Daphnia pulex: one gene and its partners. The protein of the gene in region 1 interacts with the protein of each later gene in a pairwise test. Links are inferred from orthologs where the notes say so. Each region holds a gene or a part of one and is shown in the gene's direction. Other genes may lie near its edges. The genes, in order: delta(3,5)-Delta(2,4)-dienoyl-CoA isomerase, mitochondrial-like; peroxisomal targeting signal 1 receptor-like; elongation factor 1-gamma-like.

The links.
Region 2: the proteins of delta(3,5)-Delta(2,4)-dienoyl-CoA isomerase, mitochondrial-like (region 1) and peroxisomal targeting signal 1 receptor-like interact in a two-hybrid assay, tested with the Homo sapiens proteins (2 studies listed by BioGRID and IntAct, with this or other methods). The link is inferred for Daphnia pulex from reciprocal best matches to the Homo sapiens genes ECH1 and PEX5.
Region 3: the proteins of delta(3,5)-Delta(2,4)-dienoyl-CoA isomerase, mitochondrial-like (region 1) and elongation factor 1-gamma-like interact in a two-hybrid assay, tested with the Homo sapiens proteins (2 studies listed by BioGRID and IntAct). The link is inferred for Daphnia pulex from reciprocal best matches to the Homo sapiens genes ECH1 and EEF1G.

The regions. Positions count from the first base shown.
Region 1 is NC_060021.1:119,680-126,741, forward strand, and holds delta(3,5)-Delta(2,4)-dienoyl-CoA isomerase, mitochondrial-like, read left to right. Parts: upstream 1-3,483; 5' UTR 3,484-3,611; coding exon 3,612-3,636; intron 3,637-3,705; coding exon 3,706-3,880; intron 3,881-3,936; coding exon 3,937-4,153; intron 4,154-4,221; coding exon 4,222-4,348; intron 4,349-4,411; coding exon 4,412-4,794; 3' UTR 4,795-4,861; downstream 4,862-7,062. Other genes in the region: uncharacterized protein LOC124194904, read right to left, coding at 785-1,398, 1,457-2,798; angiotensin-converting enzyme-like, read right to left, coding at 4,949-5,261, 5,335-5,559, 5,620-5,764, 5,833-5,945, 6,115-6,143, 6,211-6,951, 7,016-7,062. UniProt on the Homo sapiens protein: Isomerization of 3-trans,5-cis-dienoyl-CoA to 2-trans,4-trans-dienoyl-CoA.
Region 2 is NC_060028.1:9,644,642-9,648,909, reverse strand, and holds the start of peroxisomal targeting signal 1 receptor-like, read left to right. Parts: upstream 1-1,468; 5' UTR 1,469-1,650; intron 1,651-1,713; 5' UTR 1,714-1,771; coding exon 1,772-1,915; intron 1,916-1,993; coding exon 1,994-2,425; intron 2,426-2,484; coding exon 2,485-2,704; intron 2,705-2,769; coding exon 2,770-2,918; intron 2,919-2,975; coding exon 2,976-3,132; intron 3,133-3,196; coding exon 3,197-3,351; intron 3,352-3,410; coding exon 3,411-3,508; intron 3,509-3,579; coding exon 3,580-3,706; intron 3,707-3,776; coding exon 3,777-3,818; intron 3,819-3,896; coding exon 3,897-3,933; intron 3,934-4,002; coding exon 4,003-4,123; intron 4,124-4,192; coding exon 4,193-4,268. Other genes in the region: NSFL1 cofactor p47-like, read right to left, coding at 1-150, 212-317, 394-535, 601-707, 767-946, 1,011-1,123, 1,187-1,288.
Region 3 is NC_060020.1:8,827,066-8,835,062, forward strand, and holds elongation factor 1-gamma-like, read left to right. Parts: upstream 1-3,080; 5' UTR 3,081-3,363; coding exon 3,364-3,375; intron 3,376-3,483; coding exon 3,484-3,633; intron 3,634-3,699; coding exon 3,700-3,763; intron 3,764-3,826; coding exon 3,827-3,969; intron 3,970-4,046; coding exon 4,047-4,344; exon of another isoform or gene 4,345-4,399; coding exon 4,400-4,759; exon of another isoform or gene 4,760-4,833; coding exon 4,834-4,958; exon of another isoform or gene 4,959-4,985; intron 4,986-5,057; exon of another isoform or gene 5,058-5,121; coding exon 5,122-5,277; 3' UTR 5,278-5,343; downstream 5,344-7,997. Other genes in the region: uncharacterized protein LOC124193185, read right to left, coding at 390-470, 827-1,143, 1,221-1,259, 1,421-1,687, 1,748-2,055, 2,275-2,491, 2,567-2,663. UniProt on the Homo sapiens protein: Probably plays a role in anchoring the complex to other cellular components.

The DNA.
Region 1 (7,062 bases):
TGTTAATATTTCTAAAAATTGCTTTAAACTTGTAAAAACCACCTGTCAAATAGCGTAAAAATACATGACTTATTTTGTGACTTAAGTCATGACGGTGACGTAATTTTTTTTGGCAGTTACGTTGACTTTTTTTTTTGACTTTTGACGTTAGGTTTTCAAATGACGTATGACGTGCAAATTTTTTCTAAGTCACTGAAAACTCCGTGACGTTCCGAACACTGGCATCCACAGATTAAATCTTTGTTTTTAAAATATAATACTGTCATTCCAACTAGCGCTCCAGTAGAGCGTCTTTTTAGCTTAGCAGCATTAATTTTAACAATAAGAAGAAATAAGTTGTCCGATTCAATGTTGGAAATGTTAATATTTCTAAAAATTGCTTTAAACTTGTAAAAACCACCTGTCAAATAGCGTAAAAATACATGACTTATTTTGTGACTTAAGTCATGACGGTGACGTAATTTTTTTTGGCAGTTACGTTGACTTTTTTTTTTGACTTTTGACGTTAGGTTTTCAAATGACGTATGACGTGCAAATTTTTTCTAAGTCACTGAAAACTCCGTGACGTTCCGAACACTGTCCATTTGAAAATGTGGTAACATCCTTGAACTAATCTTTTACTTAATCGCCAGATTGTGTGGAGGCCACGACGTGGGCGCGTGTCATGCCACTGGCAACGTGACGCCAATGCTGATAGGACAATTAACAGGATTTCGTCATCAGAACTTTATTCAAACGCTCAAAATTCATCCTGGACTGGAATTAATTTGGGGGAAATTGGTGATTACAAGGATCGGACGACTTCAATGTCCCATTGGTTCTTGAGTCCGACCCAAACTTCGTTCTCTGGACCGCGCCAGGTGAAGACCCGATGGCGGGTCTCGTCCAGGGCCAACTGGTCGGGAGCCACGTAGAGGTACTCGCGTCGTTTGGGACTGAAAAGAGCGTAGCGGTTGGGGAATTGCTCCGTGTTGACGCGGTAAGTGTCCAGGAGCCAATCGGCCGCTCCATCGGCCCAGGTGTGGACGTCCTCGGGTTTGCTGTACTGGCGCCAGGTGAAGACGCGACGTCGATCCTTGTCGTAGGAGAACTCGTCGGTCGACGGGTACAGGTACTCGTGCGGGAACCGCAAACTGGTGAAACGAACCCGGAAGACGCCGGCCTTCCACAGTCCAGTCAGTCGCCATTCGGCCCACAATCCCAGCGGCTCGTCCTTGTTGCGCCACGTAAAGACTCGGCGTCGTTTGGCGTCCTGGGAGAACTCGTCCCGTCCAGGGTAAAGATACTCGCCAGTTCGGGCGTTTTTAATCCGGACGATCAAAATCTGCCCGTCAATCAGCCGGGAGATGACACTCTTCTTCTCCTCGCAATTATTCGGAATTTCCTCTTCCAGTTCCACTGAAAAAATGAATTAAGTTAATGACATAACAGTTAAATTGATTATCAGATGAAATACCTGACGCAGGTAAAACGAGCCCCAAGGAATAAGAAGTAGATGCGCTGTGGACGATGGGTCCAGTCATTTCAGCTCCCGCGTGGTAATTCACTTCGAGCCGGCCGAGATCCTTCCAGACGCGACCCTCGCGGATGGCGTTCAACTTGATCCTGTACAGCTGGATCGGTTTGGGCACGAATTTCTCACCGTCAAAGCTGACGAATTCCTTGTGCTGGTCGTACAAGGCGTCGATGGCCTCCTTCGACCGGGTCTTCCATTCACTGGACGATTGCTGCTGCTGTTCCTCCTGGACGTCAAAGTTATCGTCGTCGTGGTGGACCAGGTGGCGTTTGCGTTCATTGAGGGATCGGGCGATGGCATCGGGACGGCTCAGTGGGTCTTCCCAGTAGACGGTGGGCCATTTGGCGTCGTCGGCCGTCGAGATTGTCAATTTGGCCGCCACGACAACTTTTTCCAGTTGGTCGTAGATTTTCTGGCGAGAGTCCCTGCGCACGATCGCTTCCGGTTGTTCCCCGAAACTTTCGCGGACAATGTCGGAAACGGCCCGCCATAAAAGACGCTGGGCATCACCGACGGACAACAGGATCTCGTTGGTCCGCGGGAATCGCTGGCTGATTTGACTGAAAAGCTGATTGGTCTGCGTCAACATGCTCTGCGTTACCTGGACGATTTTGGTCTCCGTCTGCCTCCGGCTGTCCATGCTGTAGGCCACTTTGAATTTGTCGAATTGTTCCGGCTCCTTACTGAACTGCTCGGCCAGTTGTTGGCATTCGGCTTTGTCGTAACAGGCCAAACTGAAACCCACCGTTTGCGTGTACGGGATCATGGGCTGGGCCATATGATAACGTCCGTCCTCTTCTACGTCGCTGGATCTGGTCAGGATGACCCGGTCGAACGGGATCGACTCGACCTGGTAGGTCCGCACCTTTTTGCCCGTTACCCGCGTCAGATGGGTGGCGACAGCTTGCTGGATCGTCTCGTTCCACATTTGAACGCGGAAGCCGAAATAGAGTTGGTTGTTGACTCCGCTGTACCAGTGGGTGATGCTGGAGCTGTCCAGAATGGCCGCTGGACTGAACTGGTAAAGGGACTTGCTGTGGTAGTTTTTCCGGCCCTGGACGCGGTAAATGTTGAGCCTAGTTGTGCCGGCAAACGACATGGTCGCCAAAGGTTTGCCCAGAAAATGTTCCAGGTCTTTGGCGATTTGATTTTCTCCAGCTCCAGCCGACTCGGCAGTCTGATATACATTTGCAATGTTGGTTTGTTCGGGAGTCCCGGGAAGAATGAAGGCTCTAGTCGATGATGCCAAGATGGCCATCGTTAGTAACAAAGCTAGTTTCATCCTGGAATCCAAATGTACTGTGGCCAAGATAGTAGCAAACAATTAGTCTATATTTTGGGGTATTTTAAAAGGTTAAATCAAATTCGTCAGCAGTGCAAATCATTTGAGATACTAATAGTTGCAAAACGTTGGCTTACCCAATTGGAATGAAGTGTAGATATGTATTAGAGAGATTTTCGAATGGAAAAGTGGATTGAAAGTGACGGCAAGTGGCGGTCGTTCGCCGACTGATCAGCTATTATCGCAGAAGGATGGCCACCTTTTGTATCGTACCAGATGCCCTTCGCCATCATCGATATCACCATCAGTTGGTGACGAAGTGAGTTCATGGCGGATTCAGCAGTTCATCAGAAAAATAATGAGGTCAGCAGAAGAGATGAAATGTTACACCGACAGAAGGTTTTCTGGGTTTTACCAAACCAGATTTGGACGTGAGCTATCAAAAATTCAAAACAAGTGAAGCATCAAGTTCGTCTGAATGTTGTTGTTGCAACAGCGACCGACGACAAAACATAAACAATGTTCCAGGCGTGTCAGTTTATTAGACGTCAACGACTTCGACGAATTTAGAAAAATCAAATCCGGGGTGATCATTTGATCAACAAAGTCGGAAGACAACTTGAATCCGTAAATTGGCTGAAATTCTATCTAAACGGACCCAAACGACCCTTGATAGATGGCGCGATTAACTATCCATGTCTGATCTCCATTCCAAGATGGCACTGTTTTCTATTTCATTTCGTTTGTTTGTGTTTCCAAAGTCCATCTGTCAAAAGATTCTCAATCTAATCAGAATCAAAGTTTTCGATAATCATGCAAACTGCTTTTAAAGTATTGGGTAAATTGCACACCAAAAATATGTGTCTTAGAAATCAAATTAATGTAACATTTTTTTAAATAAATTTAGGACAAAGCGCAGTAAGAACATTGTCTACCTATTCAGCAGCCATGGCATCTTCTGCTGCTTCGTCCAACAAGTACAAATTTGAAACCTTGTCAGTGTCCACTCCAAAGGACTATGTTTATCATGTTCAACTTAATAGACCTCAGCAATTTAATGCAATGAATAGTGCCTTCTGGAGGTATGGTCTTGTTCAAATTCCCATTTTATAATTATTAATTATCTTTTCGTTTAAAGGGAAATGGTAGAGTGCTTTCAAGCAATTAGTGAAGACAGCGACTGCAGGGTTGTAGTCATCTCTGCAAATGGCAAGCATTTCACTTCAGGTCTTGATTTGAGTGACATGGGTCCGTTAATGGAGACCGTTTTGGGAGATGATGATATTGCCAGGAAATTTCGTACACTTCATCAGTTCATTAAACGCTATCAGTTGTCATTCACCTCAATTGAGCAGGTTTGTTATTATTTTGCAGCCACAGAATAATTTATTACAATTTTTCATTCTATACTCGATCCTTTAAGTGTCACAAACCAGTAATTGCTGCTATTCATGGAGGTTGCATAGGGGGTGGTGTGGATTTGGTCACTGCTGCTGATATTCGTTTCTGTACTCAGGATACCTTCTTCCAAATCAAAGAAGTTGAAATCGGTATTTATAGTCACCAATATTACAAGGTTTTCATGTGATGTAACTCTTCCATTGTTTCCATAGGACTTGCTGCCGACGTGGGAACGTTGCAGCGCTTACCTAAAGTGATTGGATCAGATAGTTTGGTCCGCGAATTGGCCTACACGGCCCGAAAAATGTTTGCGGACGAAGCAGCTCAAGCAGGTCTGGTGAGTCGAGTCTTGCCCGATAAAGACTCGCTGCTCAAAGCAGCTCTGGAGACGGCCAGCGCCATTGCCGGCAAATCACCGGTGGCCATTCAAGGTAGCAAACATAATCTCAATTACGCCCGAGATCACTCGATCGAACAAGGACTGAGTTACATGGCCACATGGAACGCGGCGATGCTGCAATCGGAAGACTTGCGCATCGCCGCCATGGCCGCCATGGATCGTAAAGGTCCTCCGCCAGTCTTTTCAAAGCTTTAAATTGTTAAAAAAACGAAATGTAATTTTTTTAGTTCATATTTTAAAATTATACAGATATTATGGCTAATATTGATTGAATCAAAAACGAGAAAAAGCTATTTGATGCAATTAATTTTGTATTTAAAAATGTTCGGGTAAATGTGCCATTAATCTTTTAAAATCGAATGTTGCGCAACGAATGAAGCGTCTCTTCGAAAATGGGTGCCAGATATTTGGCCGCCTCTTTGCTGATTAATGGAGACGATCCTTCTTTCTTGGTTTCGACAATTTTTTCGATTGGCGATTCGATTTTAGTTGCTGGAACGTCCCATCCAATGTATTCGCCATTCTTAGCATTCTCAGCTTCCAGCCACACTTTCAATGGCTCAAAGTAATTGAGCAGAGGAGTAGCAAGGACATCGCGCTGACCAGTCATGGCTTCCATGGCGTCTTGCCAAGGCTTGGAGGCTCCTAATTGCAACATTGCCCTATTACCCCCCACCAAACAGACAAAAATTTATTTAGTCAGAAATTAACACACGAAATTTTGAATTTAAATACGCAAGAGCATCTCCAGCGGCGGTCGAGTTGTAGAAATCGCATTTGTAAAGTGGTCCAACATGGCCGGCAGCGGTGCAGAGTACTTCATTGAATTGATATTGGAAGAAAGTGCGCATGAAATAGCGGATCATGTCGTAATTGTTGCAGACGTGGAAAATGGCCGTAATGTCCAGATCCTGGGCGGGATCACGTCCCACAGGTGGCGCCACTCCTAGCACTCGAGCTCTACATTTTTGTTTTGATTATTAAATTATTTTAATTGCCAATTGTTCATTTTTTAAATACTTGTCGGCCCAGTATTGGGTGTTGAGTTCGGCTTCTGGGATGTCACCTCTGAACATGTTCCAGCGCCAAGTGTCTTGAGTCAAATGGAACGGCAAGGTCGAAATGGTGTTTAACGCTTGGAAAAGTAAAAAGTTCATGTCCACATCTGGGAAAAGAATTATTTTGATGGGTTAATCGAAATTCATTTCATTTGCAGAGTTTTAATTAATCCACCTGGATCATCTGGAACGTTAAGTAGCCCAAGAGTGTTGAGATGTTTGGTGGTGGAGAAACTCATAGACATGAGCTCTCCGACAGCCTCGTGAAATCCATCGTTGGCTCCATCCCTGTCAAGTCATTGATAAGAAATGATTTTTATTTGACTTTTGTCTAGCCGTTTTTAAAATTATATAAGCTACAGGGATCAGTCAACATGTCAAACGACGCAGTTTGCTTTATCTTCGATCAAACAAAGTCAACAAGGACACAAGGATATCTGATAAAAATGGTTTTTACCTGTAGTTGAGTGGCTGAAATGCATATTGCTGAAAAGGTAAAGAAAATATCCAAATTACGTCATATTCGGTAATTAAAAAATTAAATGTTTAATACCATAAAGTATTGAATGTGACCCAGTTCGTGATGGACAGTCTGGAAATCTTCAAAAACGACTCGAGCGCACATTCGAATCCTGAAATCCTTGGCGTCGTAGAAATCCCATGCCGTTGCGTGACAAGCGACTTCACGACCGTCTGTCGGTTTCTCCAACATGGACAAGTTCCAGAAAGTCTCGGGCACCGGCAGCAAACCCATGGAAGTGTAGAAGTCGTTTCCGGTGCGGAACATGCGTTCCACCGTGTAATTTTGACGGATCATTTCCGGCGAAGGATCAGTGGATGGTTTGTCGGGATAAGGAATGGCGATGGGGTTCAAATTGACCCAGAAACGGCCCCACATGTCGCCCAAAAGATGGGCAGGTAGCGGTCCACGCAAGTCAATGTTATTGGCTCCGTAAGTGTTGTAGAGCTTTCGTCGGATGTAGGCGTGCAGTTGCTTGTACAGAGGCTCGACTTGGCTGTAAAGATCCTGGACGATCGTCTCCATTTCGGTGGTTTCGTATTTTTGACGCCATTGGTCTCCGTAGTCGTCGTAGCCGTTGAGCTGGGCCTGTTTGTTCGACAGTTCCACGTAACGCAAATAGAGCGGACGCAATTGGCGACCCACTCCGTCGTGCCACGCTTGCCACGCCCACAAATGGTCGTCGTCATTGCCAATCTCGGCCATCAGCTCAGTCAATTCCGGTTCCAGATACATGCACTCGTTGAGTCCAGTCGACGGATTAGATCTACAAGCCTATTTCAAATTCAATTTGATTAGTTAAATGGGGACTTACAACCAAGAAAAATGGATCCTGTACCTGGTAACTGCCGTAGATGCGGCCCATTTCACTGAGGATGTTGTACA
Region 2 (4,268 bases), on another chromosome or scaffold:
ACTAGCTGGTTCAGACTCAACCAATTTAAGTTCCACAATGGCTTTCTGTTCACACGCCGCTAAATCTGTTGGCGCGACGGCAGAAGCTGCAACATTTTGAGAAACCGAAGGGGCTGGATTTCCTAATACTTGTCCTTCACCTCCAAAAGCCTGAATCCAAGTAGGTTTTTAACAACTAACTAACGATCTAACTACTTTGAATGTATATTACTTGGAAACGCATCTTCTTACTGATGAATTCTTCAGTACGGTGGTCTTCCATTTGCAAATGCACTTCACGGCCGCGAGATTCACGGATCAACTCCATGGGTACTTCTCTAATGATGGACAAATTGTAAGGAAATTTGTAAACAATTGTTTTATTCATATTTAAAACGTAGAATGCACAATTACCCGCGTTTGATGTATTCAAGGAAGTCCTTGTTTGCCGGATTTTGGTAGTCTCTCACTGGACCCTCATCTAAACTGAAGCCGGTTTTCCATAATTTTAGCACAACGGTCCTAGGTTGTTCAGGCTGTCGTGCGCCTGGTATGACTATAGAAAGGAATTATGCTTGAAGAAATGTCATGGTGCTGTTATTTCATGGCAAAGATAACTACCTTGTGTATCCTCTTCACTCTGCCCTAGACGATATCCAGTTCCTTTAAATGTTTGATTACCCTTGGTTGAGGTTGAGGCCCCCTTTTCCAAAACTTCTGCTCCATGCCTAGGATCCAGAAAATGTTAATACATTTTTCTTGTAATAATCTCAAAGAGTAAACCCACTCTCTGGCTGATTTGAACATGTCTCCAATGAGATCTCCAGAAGGCTTTCCCTTGTTACGTGGTGGACCAATGACTTGCTGACCACTTCTCTCAGAGCCTCCAACATAAAAAGCTTGGCCCTCTTCATCCGAATCAGAAGAACTATTCATTTCTACAAGTTTATGGACAGCAGCAGCACCTCTATAATTAAATTTTCAAAATTTGGTCTGCACTACAGTATGTGAAAAATCATATTAACTAATACCTTGATGGGGGTTCTGGAAGTTGGTTTGAAGGAACTTCAACAGGTTCATCTTCTCCATCTCCAGCTTGCCTGTCCATAGCTCCATCATTTTCAAAGAAGCTGGCAAGGGCTGTCTGAGAATCAAAGTGATTTATTTATTGAATGCTCATAACTGTTCTTAATCTGTCTTAGTATACTTCTAATTGCCAACCGGATGACTCTAGGTAAAAACGAGCCCTTTGTTCATCAATCCCAGTTACTTCCCGGAAATTGGCAACTAATTCGTCGTTCGCTGACATGTTCAAACTAAATGTATTGAGTAATTACAATAGACAGGCAAAACTAGGCAGAATTTCAAGACTAAAATATTTTCACCAAACGAAGGACAGAGCTGACGACTCGTCGGATCGGGATTTCGAACAAAAGTCGTAATGTTTTTCATGACCGACAGAGCCATCTATACCACCATGGCCTTTATTCACTAGGTGGCTTTTGTTGTTTGTTGTACGAAATTGGTGTGGATGTGACTTTGCAGAGTGATAGAAGTTACAGTGATAAGACATACACACGATATCTTAACAACTTGCTTTCATAAGTTATATTGATGAATAGTATTGGGAAATTATTACCGAACCATTCTTGAGCTAGACCCTCTTTTTAGGTAACACATGATTTCTAATGACACATGTGTAACAGAAACTAATATATTGTTTTGTATTTTTAGGTAGCTATACATTCAGGAAGAAGTTTGGAGACCTTGAGCTCGGACATCAGTACCTAGAATGGCGTTTCGAGAATTAGTTGATGGAAATTGTGGTGGAAGGAATCCTATGCTTAAAGTAGCATCACATTTTACCAGAGATCAAGGATTTCGTCAGGATGTACCTGTTTCACATAGACACCCTGAACCGAGACCAGAAGATGTTGTAAGTTGATTCCTGACTCACTGTCTAAAGAAAAAGCATTCTCTCACAAATCTTTTTTTTATCTCAACTATTTTCTAGATGGTCAGAGAATTTTTGGAGGGTATTCCACCTCCATCTCAAGTAGGATCAAGAGGTGCCTTTAACATGGATAGCCTTTTACGTGAGATGAGGGATCTGGAAAAGCCACAAGGAATTGCTAGACCTCCTATTCAACCAGGACCAAATGTAGCCCATTATGCATTTGATGACAAAAACTGGGCTGAAGATTTTTTGAGGAAAGAACCTCATGTGATACCAGAAGATTTACCTTCTGCTAGTGGATGGAGTCAGGAGTTTCTGGACAGTCCTGGCTATATGGGAGTTGTAGATGATTATGCAGAGTGGGACAACCATTGGGATAGCTTAACCTCTCATATAGAAAAACCGGGATTTTCTGCTCCTGGCGCATTAGCCCAAACTGCCGGAGAAATTATTGACAGAATGAAAGATCCAAAATTTGCTCAATCTGAGGTAATATTTTATGCGCATGATCCCTTTCCTGACCAAAGTTTCTGAAAAAAAGCTTTCAGTTTTTGCAGTTTATGCACAAGGTCAATCAAGGGGAGGAGGATTTGACCTCGGAACCTCGGACTACTACCGCTCATAGTAATTCAAACTGGGCGGAGGAGTTTTCTGGCTCAGAGGGTGTAACAAGACAGCCAGAATCCAGTGCAGATCAAGACTGGGCTGCTGAATTCACAACTAATCGTCAACCTGATTCGGCCGACGAATGGACAAAAGAATTCAGCGGTAGTGTTATATATTTTAAGTAGCTAATCAACTTCATCCTTGTAATTTTTTTTGCATATATAAAGACGGTGCCAGCGCTGAAGTGTTTAGGGGCGGAAATCCAGCTCAAGATGACTTCTGGTCACAACTTCAACAAGACTGGGAAAAAGCAGCCGACGACAACCCTGCAAGCTACGGATGGCTTAAGGAAACGCAACAAGATCCGTTAAGTGAAGTAATAATGCGCATGGTATTTACTAGTTCCTTGATTCTCACTTCTGTTGGTTTTTAGTACACATTTGAGGCAGAGAATCCGTACCAAGACAACGCGGATCCTTACAATACAGGTCTCCAAAAAAGATTAGAAGGTGATCTTCCAAGTGCCATTTTGCTGTTTGAGGCAGCTCTAAAAAAAGATCCTGAACATGTGAAAGCTTGGGAAGTTCTTGGTAAAAATATCTAATTATTTATATGCCAGGATTCTGTGTAAAGTTAGCTTGTTTTTTATTTTAGGGTTGACTCTTGCCGAAAACGAACAAGATCCAGGGGCAATTACCGCATACAAGCGTTGCTTAGCATTGGAACCAACAAATCTTGTTGCCATGATGGGTCTGGCTGTAAGTTACACAAATGAATCTTACCAGTTGCAAGCTTGCCAAGCCCTGGAGGTAATTGTTTTCCAATTAGTGTAAGGCATACAACATTAAAGGTGGTTTTATATTATTAGGACTGGTTGCGGAACAATCCCAAGTACGGACACTTGACCTCTCCTTCATCAGCCAGGGTTAACGAACGGGAGAGAACATTTACAAGCCTAGTTTCTGGGTACAGGAAATATTTTCTAATTTGTTGTGATATTACGGCGCAAACTTACCCGAGTTTTAAATTCTACCTAGGGATACTTTTAACCGAGTTCAGGATATGTACTTAACAGCAGCTCGATTACAACCTTCCCAAGACTTAGATCCCGATGTGCAAACTGGCTTAGGCGTACTTCTCAATCTCTCTGGGGATTTTGATAAAGTATGATGCATTTATGAAATTATTCGATTTTCTTGATTTTTTCAATTGGCTGCATTGCTTCAATTTTTAGGCTCCCGATTGTTTCAGGGCTGCTCTTCAGATGAAACCTAATGTAAGTTGTGGTGATTTATTATTTGCATGTACTTTTTTCAAGTTTATGATTTTATTTATTGTTAATTCCTATTTTCAGGATTCTTTGCTTTGGAATCGGCTCGGAGCAACTTTAGGTGACTAGCTTTTCTTACATAGAATAGTCTTACATAAGAACGTATGCATGATTTACGTGTTATTTGTAGCCAATGGAGGGAAATCTGAAGAGGCCATTGAGTCATATTACAAAGCTCTAGAGCTGTCGCCTGGTTTCATTCGCGCGCGTTATAACTTGGCAGTTTCCTGTATCAACCTAGGTGCTCACAGGTAATAAAGATTAACATTTTCTTTCTCCAATCCTGTTTAGTGTATACATTTTCTAAATTCTCGAAACAGAGAAGCAGCCGAACATCTAGTGTCCGCTTTACTCCTTCAAGCTAGACGTTCTAAGCGCGTCATGTCCGACAATATT
Region 3 (7,997 bases), on another chromosome or scaffold:
TTATTTGGAAATTATAGCGATGTTGATGTTTTTATTTTTATATTTTTAGTAAATGATAATTCGTTGCCTCCTATTATTATTCCTACTACAGTTAACCTAGAAGGTAAAGATTGCAACACTAATTATCCTTTATTTTTATTTGATTTAAAATCTTCACTTAATAAAATTTACGCAACGTAATTATTATTATTGGGACTTGACAACTTGATTACTTTTAGTACAGACTCTAGCCAATTGTAAGAATCAAACCCGAGAGACTCACGAAAATAATATTGAAGTTATAAAGGAATGTAATAAACCGAAGAAAAGCAACATTACATGGAGTAAACAATAATCATACGGTCGATTGTTAGTTGTTTAGTGCAGGTTTTGTTGCAGAAATTTCCTTCTCAACTCGAATTTCCGTAATAACGGGTAGGATGACAGGTTTGGCCTCCACTCTGTGTATTCACTAGACGATTATTTTGCGCCTGAAAATATAAATGGAATGAGTACTCTCCATGAATAAACGAGTAAAAATTACTTATATATTAAATGTTGTTGGAGAGGTAATTCGAAACAGTTCTAAATTGACAACCCAGCTGCCTGTAATACCAATCGAAATCAAATGTTTGATCTCAGCTTTCGTACATCAAATAAATTAAAATTTAGAATACAATCCCCGACACACTGATCATTATATATAATGCAAATCAATTTTATTGACTGGCTCATTGTAAATGACATAAATCAAGATCAATCGATTCGATTTGGTCATTATTAAGCTGGAAACAGACTCGATCATTTAAACACATGGCGAACAGACGGGGAATTTATTTTCACTTACATTGGAAGCAGGTATAGCAGAGTGATAGCCAGCTGAGGTCGGAGGTCGTAACGGGTTTCCTGTTATGATGCTACCGCTCTTCGATGCATGGTTTTGCTGCTGAATAGGAATTCCAGAAGGATGTGAGGCACCAGGTAACGAAATTGGAGTTAACAACCCAGTATGAGGCCGCAACCCTCCTGCCGAAACAGAATTGACATTCGTGGATACATTTGGACTAGAACCAAGAGAAGGAGAAATGAAAATCTTCTCTTGTTCGGTAGTTCCGTAAGCATTAGAATTTTTGTTTATCATATGTTCAATTGGCTGGTGATATCCTTGAATTGCATTTAAAAAAATAACAAACAGAAATTTAAATATTTGAAAAGAAAAAAAAAAAATAATTATTTTAAACCTTGATTCAAAGATGGGCCAGAATTTCTTGTTGGGATGCCTACAAATAAGTACAATAAAAATTTTCAGTAATCTCTTAAGTTATAATTCCAGAAATTATCAACATTAATTTTTCTTCTTCTTCTTGTTATCGCATGAATTACTTGAATAGCGTAATTTGCATTAAAATAAAAAAATTAGAATTGATCCATAAAAACTTACTTCTTTGAGCATTCTGAGATAGCACATTTCCTTGTCCTACATAAACAGTTGCATGGTGCTTACCATCATCTTTCGATGATGCGGGAGTCTGAACAGAATATGTTGGGCGAGAAGAACCCGAGTGGTTGGGATAGCTGTACATGGATCCTGGAGGAAGTTGGTAACCAGCACTGGCTGCGCTATGGGCAGCACTTACAGAAACTGAGTGAGTGTAAAAGATGCTGCCTGGAACTGCAGGGCTCCCTCCATAGGGACTACCTATACTCTCTAGAAAAGAAAGTAAACAATAAATAAATCAGTATAGTGCTCACCAAGAATGATTTATACTTGAATTGTATGGGGAAAGGGCTGGTGGCTTGTAAGAATGATACAGCTGTGGTGGTGGTGGGGATGGACTACGAGGTCTCTTCTGATTTGTTTGACTTTGATGTCCAAGAGAAGGAACCATATTGATTGCTTGTCCATAAAGTGATGAAGGAGGCACTCCTTGCAAATTCAAAATGCTTTCTTCCTTCCCTCCATTAAATACTGGCCTTGAAGCCCCAAGATTAGGATGCATGTACACAGAACCATGGGTGTTTGGATGCACTAATGGAGCTCCAGATGGATAGGGATGAAACAGCATCATATCACTGCTAATGAAAAATATTTGAGTTTCTAATCTAATTCATATGGACAAAAATTTCATAGGATATTGATCACTCTTGATATGAACACTGGTAGGGAAAATTTTACCAAATTAAACTTTTAGTGTCCATTTACTATTTACACACTTCCTAGGATATTTCAGCATGAATATTGTCTTCTTATTCTATGCTAAGAATGAATTTTAAAAGAAAAAATAGATAGCATACTTGAAACTGGATTCTTTGATTTTTCTTCTCGTATCATCCTCATTTAGAACTTTTTTGAGTTGCAGAAATAATTGATGCTTATCCTCTTTCAGTTGAGAAAGCCTGGATTCTGACTGAGCAACTTGTTCCTTAGTTTCTTCTAAAGTCATCTCTTGTTCTTTTTGCTGATCTTCTCTTTCTCTTCGCTGTCGCTCGACCTCAGCATCAGCTTCTTGTTCTGTTTAAGAGTAAATGAGTTACAGAGCACAATTGAAACATTAACACAATTATTGTGGAGCTTCATCATAACAACCTTGCTTTTTCCTTTGTCTCTCTCTGATTATGTGTGATTTTAATGAATTCCACATAGGTCTGCTGAGTTTCGGCTTTTCTAAAACAATGGCGGGCATTTTGTTTACTTTCTACACTAACGCTCCGACTTCAGATGAATGCACTGAGTTAATTATTTGAAAATATTTGAATTGTTTGGTTTGAAGTCCTTTCTTGACTCGCGTAAAACTGTTCTTTTTAACACAGTTTGAGCTTGATACACTTCTTGTCTTCGTGCTAAGTCCATGAAGTACCGACTACCGAAGTACCGAAGTACCACCGAGACCGAACTACCGAAGTACACCTTCCTGCTAAGTGCTGCTAAGACAGTTGATGCTTTCATGGATTCTCAGTTTCTCCCCAAAGATGTCGTGGCACGACCGGCAGCCTATAGAAGTCAGGTAGCCTTTGATCTCTAGAAGACAAGAAGAGCATGAGTAAACGTAAAAAAACCATAGTTCTGTTCCGTCGGTTCCAGGTCGGTCTAGCGGCGATTCTAGTGTCGCATTCTAGTGTTTGCATTTTAAAGTTCTAGCTCTATTCCGTTTTAAGTATCCACTTTCCACCTCCACATTCCACTTCCACATTCCACATTCCACTTTCCACATCCTAACTGCAACTCTGCAAGAGTGGCCCGCAAGGCAGACCAACAAAGGGCTGCGCGCTTAACAGCGTTGCCATGTAGAAATTTTCAACTATTCTCACGTTTGAGCTCGTTCTCTCTTGCAGCAGACTTCTTCTTGGTTCCACGTCAGGTTCTCGTCCCTGCATTTGATCATCATGGCTTCTGGAGTAAGTACGATCTGTGTTTGAATCTAAGAAATTCCGTGACATCTTCTTGTGTTTTAAAGCGTGATTCTGTTGTCCAATATCTAATTAATCGGGTTTTTTTAATTTTAGACTTTGTACACTTACCCAAGCAACTTCAGGGCCAATAAGGCTTTGATTGCTGCTCAATACTCTGGTTTCAAAATAAATGTCGCTTCCAACTTCGTCTTCGGCGAGACCAACAAGAGTGAAACTTTTTTGAAGAAATTTCCGTTGGGAAAGGTAATTTTCTTTATGCGGTTCATTTTCATGGTGGAAAGTTTTAAGTCTATGTGATTGTATTGATAGGTTCCAGCTTTTGAATCCCAAGATGGGCAGTGCATTGCTGAGAGCAATGCAATTGCATATTTCGGTAAATATTACTACTAAAATAGTATTCCTCTGGAATTGAGATGTAATGAGTGTTATTGAACAGTTGCCAACCAGCAGCTTCGAGGAAACAGTGACGTGGAAAAGGCCCAAGTCCTTCAGTGGATGTCATTTGCCGACAGTGAAATTCTTCCACTGTCCTGTACTATTGTTTTCCCTGTCCTTGGAATCATTCAGTACAACAAACAAGTATGTTTCTTATTTTAGTTTATTTGTGCAAAGCTAATTTTATATGTACAATGTTAATTGGTGTATTGTTTGTATAGGCTGTTGAACATGCTAAAGAAGAATTGAAGGCTATTTTGTCTGTCGTCAACAACCACCTTCTTACACGCACCTTTTTGGTTGGAGAGAAAATAACTCTTGCAGATATTGTTCTTTCTAGCAATCTTCTCCACCTTTATGAGAGCATTTGTGATGAAACTAACAGGAAGCCTTATCAAAATTTGAATAGATGGTTTATTACTTGTGTTAACCAACCACAATTCAAAGCCATCATTGGAGACTTTAAGATATGCCAGAAAGAGTGTCCAGTTGATCCCAAGAAGTTTGCTGAATTTCAGAGTAAGAAAATTCTAAACATTTAATTCATTGCCATTTTTATCCAATGTGTCAACAGGTAAAATAACTGGATCTCTGAAAAAGGAAGAAAAGAAATCTGTCAAGGATGAAAAGAAGAAAGAGAAAAAAGAAGAGAAACCAAAGCCAAAGAAGGAAGAGCCAGAAGAGGCTGAGGAAATGGATGCAGCTGATGCAGCCCTATTAGAGGAACCCAAGTCCAAGGATCCATTTGATGAAATGCCCAAAGGAACATTCAACATGGATGATTTCAAAAGATTTTATTCTAACAATGAAGAGTCAAAATCCATCCCTTATTTCTGGGACAAATTCGACAAGGAAAATTATTCTATCTGGTTTGGAGAGTACAAATACTCTGATGAACTTACCAAAGTCTTCATGTCTTGCAATTTAATCTCTGGTATATTCCACAATTTTTTTTTTTTTTTTTTGTTTTCAAAGAAGAAATCCCATAATATTCACATTTTTTAATAGGCATGTATCAACGTTTGGATAAAATGAGGAAACAATGCTTTGCATCCATGTGCTTATTTGGAACAGACAATGATTGTACCATTTCAGGAATTTGGGTGTGGCGTGGGCAAGATTTAGCTTTCCAGGTAAGATGGTTTACAATGATGTTACCTCTTTCAAAGACACAAATATTTTTTGTTTTCGATATTTTGTGTAACAAGTAGAGGGAAAGTAATAAGACTTACCTGTTTTTAAGCTTAGCTTTGCTTGAAGTAATGGATCTAAGTTTTAACAATATTTTTTGTTTAGTTGTGTCCTGATTGGCAGATTGACTACGAGACATACGACTGGAAGAAATTGAACCCTGATTCAGATGAAACCAAGAAGATGGTGGCGGAGTATTTTGCCTGGTCCGGCACTGATAAAAATGGTCGTCCTTTCAACCAGGGAAAGATTTTCAAGTAGTTTGGTATCTATACTCGTGGAGTGTTGTATCACAACCATTATCAATACAACTGATGAGCTACTTGATATGTTGGAGTTCATTCAGACTTACATTAAATTGTTTTAGCTTGCTGATTTAAGAATATATTGCTTAATCCCCTCTTTGATTCTCCATTGGGGTCACAGACCATTTTATTACACTCCCCTTTGATGAGTTGCAAGTCACGCTCATGTTAATAACTTCAAAGCAGTATTTATACATCTCAAAGCGTTTTGAACAATAATTTGCGTGGTTTGGTATACCAATTATCAAACAAAATTTAGAATTTGTTATGAACGAGAAAATGGTGCACAAAAGCTTTTTACAAAAAAAGGCGGATTAACATACAACAGAGCACCAGGTTCTCCGACTTTCCAAGCTGATGGATCGATTTCACAGGCGAAATAGGAATAATCAACAGTAGTGCCTCTAGTGCTCGATTACACCAACAATTTGGCTAACTATTTTATACTCAAGTGATCCAAGCTCTAAGCCCAGCTACAAAGTGTTTATTGGTTCGCTTGGTCATTAAGACGAGCTGTGATCATGTTGACAAACCCTAACGTTTTTACCATAATATTTTTTAATTTCCTTTTTATCTATAAAATTATTCATACGATTCAGCATTCTTAACTGCATGATATAACAAAATTCCCACCGTGAAGGGTAATTTGTGACACTTAAAAGAAAAACCTATCATACAGATCAGCCTGAAAACGCCTGTAAAATACGGAACGCCAAATAGAATTGGCTAACGTCCGAAGTTGCCAATTCGACTTGGACGAATGATCGATTGGACGGTTACGGTTGACGTCCAATTTTTGGATTTTGGACGTCAACCGTCCAATCGTCAACGTCCAACGAACTGGCAACTTCGGACGTTAACCAACTCTATGATCCCCTATAATTATACTAGTGCCAGAGCTGCTAGTGCTATTTATTTTAGAAATCAATTGAACATGGTGTATTATTATTATTTTTCCCCTCTTTTCACCCTTTTCGTCTTTCGCCTTTGGGCCCTAAGGGCAAAAGAGGGGATATAGGCAGCACGAAAAAGGGGGAAAAAGAGCAAAATAGGGTCTTTGGCTCTTTGCATGAAATTTAAATTTGTTTAAAACATACTTGGTTAGAATCAGTTTTTTACGCTGATTCTCATGGTATTTTTTAAATATTTTTAAAATGAACCTATCTATGTGTATTTCTAATTCAAAGTTCAAATAAGCGCCTCCCATTTCAAAACGGGCCCTCAGCCATTTTTTAGGGGCGGAGCTTAATTTCTGATAAATTTGTAGACGACGCTCACCAACATCACCAAAATCACCCTTGAGAAATCGGAAGTCCAAAAAGGACTTTTTTTGCCAATCAATAATTAGAAAGCTATACATTGCTTTAAATTGGCATTTTTAAAATTAATCGGGCATTATCTTGTTTATTTAATGGCAAAAGCCTCTAATTTTTAAGTATTATAGTTTAATGGAAAAACTTAATTTTGTCACGGCCGCTTAGCCATAAGGCACCATGTAAACCACGGCTGCCGCGCGGCTGAAAAAAATTTGACCGTCTGTCACTATTAATTTCATAAATAATCTATTTTACACGTGATGTTGAATTGTTGATGAAAATTTGATAACTTATAAAGTAAAAGACGTGAACACGAGGAAATTTTTTAAACAATTTTTTTATAATTAGAAGTACCATATTTTTTCGAAAATAAAAAAAATTTAATATAAAATGTTTTTTTAACAGAAATATTTAATATTTTCACGGAGGGTTTTGGATGTAACATCTTAAACACTACAATAATAAAGCTCATTTAAAAAATTTCATGTTGAATTTTGTTCGAGGTTAAAAATTAATTACCCTCGACTATACAGAAATGTTCGACACACCAGCACGGATTTGATAGAGGTGGATGGTCTAGTCTTTTATGGGAATAAATTGGTTTTTCCGGTATCCTTGAGCGAGGCCATGGAATGCGTCTTTTTTGGACATTTTTGTGAAGTAAAATGTGTCAGGCGGGCCAAGTCGTCCGTATACTAGTCGTCCGACCACATCCGTAACATGTTGCCCAGCTGCTCCACCTGTCAGTAGAACTGACAAACAAACCCTACTTTGCCCTAGTTTCCCGTCAGTCTTCCATTTCATTCATTTCAAATGGTGCTGTGTCGCACAGCTGCGGTACAGTATGGTCCAAAAAAATCCGAACAACCTAAAAGCCACCTATCAGTCATGCGGGAACTATGTTAGGCTTTTTGGTCCTAATTGTGGGGGGCTAGGAACAAAGCGAAAGGTGGGAAGAAGGAAAAAGGAGTAATAGGCTCATTTAGCCACTGGTCATGCCTTTCCCCCCAAAAAAAAATCATGAACGAAACCAGACAGGCTGTCTGGAATTTCCTTTGCAGGTAAAAACGAATAACCGCATTGCAATAGCCTTAGGCCTTAGGCCCTAGGCTCACCGTCAATACTGTAGGCAGCGTACGTACGCCGCAAGGTACCCGAAGGGAATGTTAAGGGTATACTAGTTGGTATAGTAGTATTGCTGTATTGGTATAGTTTTATAAAGGCAGAGCTATAGAATAGTTATAGAATAATAATAATATTCTGTTATAAAGGTAGGCCTATTATTAAGATTAATTAATAATATTTAAAACAAAAATGTTATGCCCTTAGTTTCCGGAGAAATTTAATATGCAGAAATCGA